3 linked regions of the Saccharomyces cerevisiae S288C genome follow. Changing the gene in region 2 together with the main gene of any one other region gives a genetic interaction. Each region holds a gene or a part of one and is shown on either strand. Other genes may lie near its edges.

The links.
Region 1: mutations in SLI1 (region 2) and AIF1 together harm fitness more than expected from each alone (negative genetic interaction), as found in Saccharomyces cerevisiae (one large-scale study listed by BioGRID).
Region 3: mutations in SLI1 (region 2) and YFL064C together harm fitness more than expected from each alone (negative genetic interaction), as found in Saccharomyces cerevisiae (one large-scale study listed by BioGRID).

The regions. Positions count from the first base shown.
Region 1 is NC_001146.8:777,020-780,778, reverse strand, and holds AIF1 (Aif1p), read left to right. Parts: upstream 1-2,040; coding exon 2,041-3,177; downstream 3,178-3,759. Other genes in the region: COS10 (Cos10p), read right to left, coding at 1-863. UniProt on the Saccharomyces cerevisiae protein: Putative FAD-dependent oxidoreductase involved in the resistance to cercosporin and other singlet oxygen-generating photosensitizers. Translocates from mitochondria to the nucleus under apoptotic conditions, where it degrades DNA and induces apoptosis.
Region 2 is NC_001139.9:915,023-918,781, forward strand, and holds SLI1 (N-acetyltransferase), read left to right. Parts: upstream 1-2,017; coding exon 2,018-3,424; downstream 3,425-3,759. Other genes in the region: zinc finger-containing protein ZPR1, read left to right, coding at 219-1,679; RTA1 (Rta1p), read right to left, coding at 3,490-3,759. UniProt on the Saccharomyces cerevisiae protein: Confers resistance to the sphingolipid biosynthesis inhibitor drug myriocin (ISP-1). Inactivates ISP-1 by converting it into N-acetyl-myriocin. Cooperates with YPK1 in mediating resistance to myriocin.
Region 3 is NC_001138.5:2,759-5,942, reverse strand, and holds YFL064C (uncharacterized protein), read left to right. Parts: upstream 1-2,096; coding exon 2,097-2,621; downstream 2,622-3,184. Other genes in the region: YFL065C (uncharacterized protein), read left to right, coding at 2,605-2,913.

The sequences.
Region 1 (3,759 bases), on a different chromosome or scaffold from region 2:
GATAGGTACTGCATTTTATCATCAACTTTCATCGATTTAGGCCTTATGTTTTGAAAATCATCTATCATTCTAAAGAAAATGTCTATTAGCCAATAAGATACCAAGCATGCTGGTGATAAATTTGCACAAATAAAGAAGTCAGACATATCAGGAAGGAAGTCTAGTGGAGAGAAAGAAATCCTGATTCTCTGGCAACTCCATGCTAGCTTGCAGCGATAGGTTTCCTTAGGAAGCTTGACATTTTCCAACATAGTAAGTTTGCATTCCTTCTTACCATGGATCAACCTCCACTGTGCGTTTACTTTTGTAAAATAAACCTGCACCGCGTCTTCGGTGTAAGGGACCAAAATCTCAATTGAACTGAACCTAGGATCTTCGTTTTGTCTCCTCAAAACAGCTGGCTCTAGAATGGTTTTCCTGAATGCTTCTTGGCAGTCAGTACCATTAAAAAAAAAATGTGCAGTTTTCCATGCTTTGTTTTCATACAAGTAGGAATTGAAATGTATTGCAACAGCGTCCCAATCAGCAGAGTATGCACCTGGTGCACTTTTGATGATTTCTTTAGAAAGCTGGGTGAGTTGATTTGATAAAGTATATTTACTGTACTGTATTTGAACTACTGGCAAAATAGCAATTAGCGCCAGGATTAGAACTACTGAAGTCAGAAGGGGATAAAACCAAGTACTGGCCATCCCCCACCAAACGGCAAGCGGTAACCATGATAGCGACCAGATCCAAAATCCTGAGTTGCGAATCTCACTGCACAACCATGTTAAACGGTTTCTGAAAATATCCTCGGGCAAACAAAAGCTACTATGGGTCTCAAGACCTTTAGAGGACAAAAGTCTAATCTCTTCCCCCATATTCAATATAGTGTATTTCACATTAATGTTATGAGGTACGTAACAAGTTTACTGAGGTTTAATCACTCGCAGTGTTTTTTATATAATTCGCAAGATGAAATTTGTTGACAGCGCGTTCATCACGCAGCTGTTGAGTTTTATAGTTAAAGCCACGATCAAAAAAAGAGCAACAGCTTCGAGCAGTTTCGAGTGAAAGAGAATCTATGTTGGTTTATGTTCCGGAAGCACGGGAGAAATGGACTTCACTCAAGTACCCAAGTTATCACTAAAATGTAAGTCAATGTATGTTTACAGATACGAGCTGCGATGTTTTATAATACATGGTACACAATAGGTGAAGTATTGTGGCTTATTTTTGAATTATCAAACAATGTAATAGCTTTCCAAAGCATACCATATAACTCCTATGAATTAAGCGGCGGTCTCATTATAAAGTCGGGACACTTTTTGGTCAAAGCTCTCGATTAGTTTTTGAATACTGTGCAAAGTCTTTAATGATATTGTCATCAGTTCATAATCGAATTCTCTGGTACATTTTTTCTTATTTTATTGATCAATGTTAATGTCAGTTTGCTGGCTCTTGTTTTTTTTTTTTTTTTTTTTTTTTGACTGTTAGTTAAGTTGCCCAGCTAAGCTTACTCAATGAGTTAAGTATTTATTTTCATATTTTCATCATAAAATACTGCGCTATCTCGTGCCCTCGTCTCTTATACAATAGGCAGTACTTGACTAGAATCTAGGAGTGCTTTTCCTGAAACTCTCTATAATAACAACCCATCTCCCGCCGATTGTATAGTGAGCCAAGTGTTCTCATAATGGGGGTCTTGAAGAAGACTTCAATGGTGTCTCATAGTAGCAGTACTAGTAGTGCTAGGAAGATGAGCATTGTACAGCTTACTTTTCGTTATTAGTGATACATGACTGAGTGATTGTAGTTGGTAATACTGGATTAGTAATCGTTAAAAAGCGATAAAAATTAATTGAATGTCCACCCTGCATGATTAGTCCTTTTTATCTGGCTGGACAAATGAAGCCTATTATAAGTATTAATATATTAGCTGCTGCAGACTAGAAACGAAAGCAGTGATAAATCATTGATAGACACACATTTCCTCATCGTTGTTCTTCATTATTTACAGGAAAGAGCAGAGAAAGGAAGAAAGAAATTGCAAAATATATGACAATTAACACAAAGAACATAGTTGTTGTTGGTGCTGGTGTGTTTGGTGTGTCTGTGGCAAATCACTTGTACAGGGAACTGGGTGGGACATACGCAATAAAGCTCGTCACAGCATCTAATTATGTGTATTTTCTACCCTCAGCTGTCCGTTTGACGGTTTCAAAGGATTATACCAAGTCGATCCTGCCGTTAAAAAATGTTCTTGATAGTGGTATTGAAGTTATCAAAGATACGGCTGCCAGCTTTGATGATAAGGAGGTAGTTTTGGGGTCAGACAGGGCCATAAAGTTTGATATCTTGGTTCTTGCAACTGGCTCAAAGTGGGCTGATCCAATTGGTTCAACTTATACCTTCGGGGATAACTATAAAGAGTATTTTGAAAGAGAGGCTTCTCGAATCTCAGATGCAGATCACATACTTTTTCTTGGCGGTGGCTTTGTTAATTGTGAACTAGCTGGTGAATTGTTATTCAAGTATTTGGAGGAGATCAGGTCTGGCAAAAAGCGTATTTCCATTATTCATAATTCCGATAAGCTACTGCCGGACTCTGGGTTATACAACGATACCCTAAGAAAAAATGTGACAGACTATCTCTCAAAAAATGGTATTACGTTGTACTTGAACACAGTAGGGGCTTCTTTAGACACCTCGCCGAAACGTATTTTTCTAGGTGAGGGCTCATCTAAATATATAGATGCTGATTTGATTTACAGAGGCGTTGGTATTTCTCCAAATGTGCCGGTCAACAGTATTTCAGACCTTTGTGACAAGAAAGGGTTCATTCAAGTTGAAAAAAACTTCAGGGTAAAAGCTGTTGAGGCAGGAAACGTTTTTGCCATTGGTGATGTAACGAATTTTAGATATCACGGATTGGTTAAAAGAGATAATTGGGTTGATGTTTTGACCCGAAATGTTATAAGTTCTTTACAAGAAGGAACAGAGGCTAGTCTCGTTGATGCAGATTGTCTTGAGACAGGACATGCCCCAAGTGGTGTCTCCCTTGGGCCAAATGCAGGGTTTGGCCAATTTCCACTACCGTTACTTGGGACGATTAATATTCCATCGTTTTTAATTTCTAGAGCAAAGTCGAAGAATCTTTTCTCCGACAAAATGGAACCTTTATTCAAAAAATAGACTAAAATATGAACTGCAGCGTATATATATATATATATATATATATATTAGTTTCTGTATTGTGAAACAAAGAAGGCCGCTGGAAACAACAAATGTTGAACTTCGCATTCAGATAATAATCTATTAAAACCCGAAGTTACTCGAAAATGTTAGCTTTGGATTCTCACACTATATGTAGTTTCTTTGACAGTAGTAAAACGGTATTACACCTGTGCATTAGAGTTATCAATCGCTTGATAACAATTTGACATTTTGGAGGGTCCATGAAGATAGGTACTGATTTTACTCGAAGTGTGAATGTTTTATACCGAAGTTTTGTTATATAGAGATACAGATATCAACAGGATTGACCACCTTCTTTTTTAAACCTAGTATAATGGGGACGGTGAGAATTAACAGTTAAGGTATAGGCGTGATGCCATGGGAGGGGCAAATACGGAACTGGAGTAAAGTATTGTGTGGTTTAGGTGCTGGGAAAAAGAAAGCATTAGAATGCTCAATAAAACAGCGGCTTCCCGCATAATATTTTTTTGATTATTTCATTCCGAGAAAGGCCGATATATGCAGAGGCTACGTGTTGCT
Region 2 (3,759 bases):
CTAGAATATTCTAGCCCCATCAGGGCTAGAATATCCTAAAAGTTTATAGTTGACGAAAATTTTTCAGCGATGAGATGCACATTTATAATGCTATGATGTTCAACGCAAAGGAAATCATAGCGTTATCGGGTAGGTTCGCATCGTTAGCAATAGCTAGTCGCATATATACACAGAGATACATATTATACCTATACCGTTAAGAAATAGGATAGAAAATAATGAGCGAACAAAAGGAAGATTTGTTTAAACCAGTAGGAGAAGCTGCTGCAGAGGTCGAAGATGAAAGCATAGCCGAACAGAACAAAGCTAATGACGGCGTCAAGTTAACCGGCGCACAGGACGCCATGGGCCATCCAGTGCAAGAGATAGAGTCTCTTTGTATGAATTGTGGAAAGAACGGTACAACCAGACTTCTTCTGACTTCCATCCCTTATTTCAGAGAAATAATTATTATGTCATTCGACTGTCCTCACTGTGGGTTTAAGAACTGTGAGATCCAACCCGCTTCTCAAATTCAAGAGAAGGGCTCTCGTTACGTTTTGAAAGTGGAGTGCCGTGAAGATTTTAACAGGCAAGTTATTAAGTCAGAAACTGCCACTTGTAAGTTTGTCGAGCTAGACATTGAGATTCCTGCTAAGAGAGGTCAATTGACGACAGTTGAAGGTTTGTTATCCGAGATGATCGACGATCTGTCGCAAGACCAGGAAATGAGAAAATCTATAGACGAAGCTCTTTACAAGAAGATCGATGACTTCATACAGAAAGTTAAATCCTACATCAATTGTGAACCCAACACTATTCCGATTACATTTATTTTGGATGATCCTGCGGGAAATTCCTGGATCGAATACAAACCCGGTGAACCTCAACACAAATGGTCTCATACCCAGTACGTGAGAACCGACGAACAAAACGTTCAAGTTGGCATTATTACTAGAGACCAGTTGGAGCAACGTCGCCAAGAACAATTAAAACAATTGGCCAACCGTGAAAGAAATCCTTCTGAATCTGTCAAAGTTGGCTCAGCAAACCCACAGTTTTTGTCAGACGCCACCGACATCGAAAACTTTAACAACGAGGTGCAAACATTCAGAGCTTCTTGTCCATCGTGTACCCAAGAGTGTGAAACTCATATGAAGCCAGTAAATATCCCACACTTTAAAGAAGTCATTATCATGTCGACGGTCTGCGATCATTGTGGTTATAAGTCTAATGAGGTGAAGACCGGTGGTGCCATCCCTGACAAAGGAAGAAGGATTACTTTATACTGTGACGATGCAGCTGACTTGTCCCGTGATATTTTGAAATCTGAGACCTGTAGTATGGTAATTCCTGAATTACATCTTGATATTCAAGAAGGTACATTGGGTGGTAGATTCACCACTTTGGAAGGTTTACTAAGACAAGTCTACGAAGAACTAGAATCCCGTATTTTCACTCAAACTTCGGATTCCATGGACGAAGCAACGAAAGCCCGCTGGGTAGAATTTTTTGCCAAGCTAAAGGAGGCCATCGCTGGGAAAGTCAAGTTCACAGTCATTATGGAAGATCCATTGGCCGGGTCGTACATACAAAATGTCTACGCCCCAGATCCGGATCCAAACATGACTATCGAAGATTATGAAAGAACTAAAGAGCAAAATGAAGACCTGGGATTGTCCGATATCAAGGTTGAGTAACGATCGTTGGCCTCGGTATCACCTCCCCCTTTCCTCTTCCTCTTTACATATATCCTAACCACACAAGCACTCATTTGATATGATAATACTTATTCGTTTTTATTCAAATAGATAGCGCAGTCTTGAAGATTTACCTATATTTTTAAACTTTTGTATAATAGTTGAAATAGATAATACAGCATTTTTTGGCTCCTGCTTCATATCTTTTTTTTTAGGTTTTTGCTTTATATTCTTTCTTTTAACTCAACTTGTGCGGAGCAGAGGTAAAGAGGACAACTATAAATGCTGTCAAAACGAACAATCTACAGATATTTTTACGAAAAGGAAAAAGCGCAAGAATGAATCTTAAACTTTCTGCTATTGAAAGTTACTTTTTCCATAGAAGCAGACTAAATTTGCATTCATGTTTTTATGTCGGAATCAAACTCAACGAATTGCCCAAAAAAAGTCAACTGATAGCGGCTCTTAAGTATACTGTAATCCAACATGAACGTTTGACTTGTAATGTATTCTATGATGAATTGAAAAAGGAAAACTTCCTACAAAACATTCTTGAGCCACTGAAATTTTGCGATCTAGTAGAATACCGCCACGATTGGGACCAGTTAGGGGAAACCGAAATTAACCACATCTTTCAAAGGTATAACTTTTCATACAACGAGAATAAACCTTTATGGAAAATTCTGATCCTCCCTAATCAAAATCAAATGCTATTGCTGACAGATCATGTTCTCATGGATGGGATGTCCGCTATTCATGTGTGGGAAACGTTTATGGAAGGCCTACAGATGCAACAGCCGGTTGAAATTGATGAAACAATATATTCACCATCATTAAATTCATCAACTGAAAAAATAATGTCAGCCCCACTATACGGAGATTGGCCCATACCTTGGAATTGGCATATAGTGCGACAATTGGTCAGTAGACTACATTATTGGTTTCCACAAACAGTCGTAAAAAACAATAGAAATTTAATCCAATTTGCCAACTACTCATTTCCAAAAGACCTGCTGGATGATAAACCGAGCGATGGAACTCAAAAATACAAAGTTAAAAACACGAACCATCAATGGGAGTTTCGATTATCGCCGACCCATCTCAACGACATTTTACAAGAATGCAAGGCCAATAATACTTCGTTGACTTCCCTTTTAGGTGCCCTGGTCTGCACCAGTTTCGAAAAAATAGCTGCACATGAGTATACCGGATCATTTTTGAAAATTGAATTACCAATGAATATTAGAAAGCCTTTTGAACGAGTCTTGAAATTACCTTCAGATGATAAGCTCGCCGTGGGAAATTTTATTGCGGTCATAGAATTCAACCATAAACTACATCAAAACCGTGGAATATGGGATATCGCTTCTCAAATTCAAAGGGCCATAAGAAGCAGTTCCGAGGATAAAATAATAGATAAAGTAAACGAAGTAAAGTTATTGGAGGTTATTTCTTCTCAACAATACATAGAAGATAAAATTAGCTTGAATAACGGACCTTCTTCCACATTTGAAGTAACAAACTTAGGATTTCAAACATTTAAAGATGCATGCAACACCAGTTTACCGTTTTATATAGTGGATGCTACATTCAACGAGCCGCAAGGAATATCTTCAATTTTCTCACTAAGCGTAATCTCTACTCCTGGTAACGGACTACATTGTTGTATCAGTTATCCAAATACTCTCACTAAAGTGCTAGAACCCCACTGGCAATATATGAAAGATTACTTAAATTTATACTAGCAGCACTTCACTAGCTCAAATACAGAATAAAACCACATTTCCCACATGTAAATATAGAAAGCAGTTTATTCGCTCTTTGAAGCGAGATCTTCTTCGATAGACGTCACCTCAACGTCAGGATAGTCGGTGCCGTCAAATCTTGCTGATTGTTGCGCTTGAATAGACTCTTCATGTATTCTAAAAATGTTAATTAGTGGGAACGCCACAATAAAAATTAATACGAGTAAAAACATTGGTAAACCATCAAAAATATAAAGATACCACTCGTGCGAGGCAATTTCTCCGTCATAACCCTGAATAAATTCAACAGCTCTGACGATCGACCTAATTAAAAT
Region 3 (3,184 bases), on a different chromosome or scaffold from region 2:
ATAGAACCAATTTATTTCCCTATATTGATAACCTTTCAATACCATTTTTTCTCCTTATGTTTGATGTCACTGTAAAAAGGCTCAAAGCAAAACTTAGAGGTACGGTGGTGCTAAGATCATGCATGACCTCTGGGTAATTACTACTTCTCCCGCTTGCTTTGAGATTCTGTATATAAATGTTTCAAACAAAAGGATAGAGCACGGATGGGAGGCCTTATAGTAAAAATTATTCGTTTTAATCATGCGTCAGTGTGCGATTCTATGACAATAGTATGAGAAGATAGGGTGAAGTAAAAGCGTCTGTATGACTATAGAGTACAGTTATATTACAATATATGGAATAGAGCATAGTGGTATGACGGTATTAAGGAACATTTAAGTTAATGACCTCATGGTGGTATTGATACGCAATTGAGTGTGTTTATGTATTATTGTTGAAGGATAGAATATTTTTATGTTTAGGTGATTTTAGTGGTGATTTTTTTGTAATATTGGCATAAGTGTATATAAATTGAGTGGTTAGTATACGGTGAAAAAGAGGTATAACGTATGTATTAAGGGCATTTATACAATATTTGGGGCCGCGGAATAAGATATAAATATTAAAATGTGGATAATAGTGGGAGTTATGCGTAAATGGCACAGGGTATAGACCGCTGAGGCAAGTGCCGTGCATAATGATGTGGGTGCATTTGTACTCATGAAGTGAGAGATGGGCCATGGAGTGGAATGTGAAAGTAGGGTAAGTTGAGATAGTATATACTATTGTAGCATCCGTGTGCGTATGCCGTATCAGTATACAAGTGATGGTGAGTATGACAGATGGGGCATGGTAGGGTATTGGCAGGGTAAGTATGTGTGCATTGTTTACGATCATTTGTTAACGTTTCAATATGGAGGGTAGAACAACAGTACAGTGAGTAGGACATGGTGGATGGTAGGGTAATGGCAGGGTAAGTGGCAGTGAGGTTGGATATGGGTAATTGGAGGGTAACTGTTATGGTGGATTTGTGGGTTGGTGGTGGGGAGGCAGGGTAACGAGTGGGGAGGCAGGGTAATGGAGGGTAAGTTGAGAGACAGGATGGAAGGGTTGGATTAGGGTAGGGTTGAGGTAGTATTAGGGTGTGGGTGTGGTGTGTGGGTGTGGGTGTGGTGGGTGTGGTGTGGGTGTGGTGTGGTGTGGGTGTGGTGTGTGGGTGTGGTGTGGGTGTGGTGTGTGGGTGTGGGTGTGTGGGTGTGGTGTGTGTGGGTGTGTGGGTATATATATGTCACTGTATTGCATGCTGGATGGTGTTAGACAAGGCCGTAGGGACATATAGCATCTAGGAAGTAACCTTGTACGAAAATAGGCAATATTTCCTGTTTAGGCGATTGGGACGCAGATTTTAGTCCAACGATCTAGCGTCAAGGAATTTTTTTATAGTGGGACATTGCACCAAGGAAGTAACTTGATACGTCGTGGGTGAATGGGTCTGTTTTCTTATTCGGCGGGGTAATACATTTTTGGGGGAAGTTTGTCTGTCTGACGCGCCATATGTAGGTACGCCAAAAAGGGCTCCTCTACTTCGAAGCGCGAGGTCGTATACCTAATAAGGAAATGTAATTTATAACTTTCTATTATATTGGTCTTTTCGAGAGCGGAAGAAGTTGTAGGCTAAGCGCAGGCTAAGCGTAGGTCCATGTTTGAAGTATCCAAGAGAATATCCACGAATCCTGGTTCTCCTCGACTAAGCAGATAGTTAAGATACTGTGCACCATGGAAATTGAAAACGAAAGTGCGTACCGACTACTTTATTTTTGCAGGCCGGAAATCAAGCGATGAATGAGACATCCTTCTGTTTTCTATGTTGTGCTTGAAGGGGACAGACAGTCGCTTATCTTAGTGAGATTTCTTATTAACTGAATTTTCTTTGCTGCTGCTGGAGATTTGCACCTGCATAGCGCAGATTCTGCATCTTCTCAATAGCTTAATTATTACATTCTTAGATGATGATAAGACGGAAACTGGACAATCTTTTGTTTATATTGATGGATTTCTTGTCAAAAAGCATAACAATCAACATACTATTGTTAATTTCGAAACTTACAAAAATAAAATGAAAGTTTCCGATAGGCGTAAGTTTGAAAAAGCAAACTTTGACGAGTTTGAGTCGGCTCTAAATAACAAAAACGACTTGGTACATTGTCCCTCAATAACTTTATTTGAATCGATCCCCACGGAAGTGCGGTCATTCTACGAAGACGAAAAGTCTGGCCTAATCAAAGTGGTAAAATTCAGAACTGGTGCAATGAATAGGAAAAGGTCTTTTGAAAAAATTGTCATTTCCGTCATGGTCGGGAAAAATGTACAAAAGTTCCTGACATTTGTTGAAGACGAACCAGATTTCCAGGGCGGACCAATCCCTTCAAAGTATCTTATTCCCAAGAAAATCAACTTGATGGTCTACACGTTGTTTCAAGTGCATACTTTGAAATTCAATAGAAAGGATTACGATACCCTTTCTCTTTTTTACCTCAACAGAGGATACTATAATGAGTTGAGTTTTCCGTGTCCTGGAACGTTGTCACGAAATAGCGAGTGCCAGGCCGAACGACAGCTCTACGATGCGTACTTTCACTGACTTTGTTTCTGGCGCACCTATTGTAAGGAGTCTTCAGAAAAGCACCATAAGGAAATATGGGTACAATTTGGCACCCCACATGTTTTTGTTACTACACGTAGATGAGCTATCGATTTTTTCTGCATACCAAGCAAGTTTACCTGGCGAAAAGAAAGTCGACACAGAGCGGCTGAAGCGTGATCTATGCCCACGTAAACCCATTGAGATAAAGTACTTTTCACAGATATGTAACGATATGATGAACAAAAAGGACCGATTGGGTGATGTTTTGCGTGTGTGCTGCCCAAGTTGAGAAGAGATACTAACAAAATGACCGCGGCTCTCAAAAATAATTGACGAGCTTACGGTGATACGCTTACCGTTATCCAGAGCTACAGCGCAACGTATACGTCGACGATACAACAAGAACGGTTCATCGGAGCCTCGACTAAAGACGCTTGACGGACTCACTTCCGAGCGCTGGATTCAATGGTTAGGCCTTGAAAGCGACTACCATTGTTCATTCTCTAGTACTCGGAATGCGGAAGACGTAGTGGCAGGTGAGGCGGCGAGTTCAGATCATG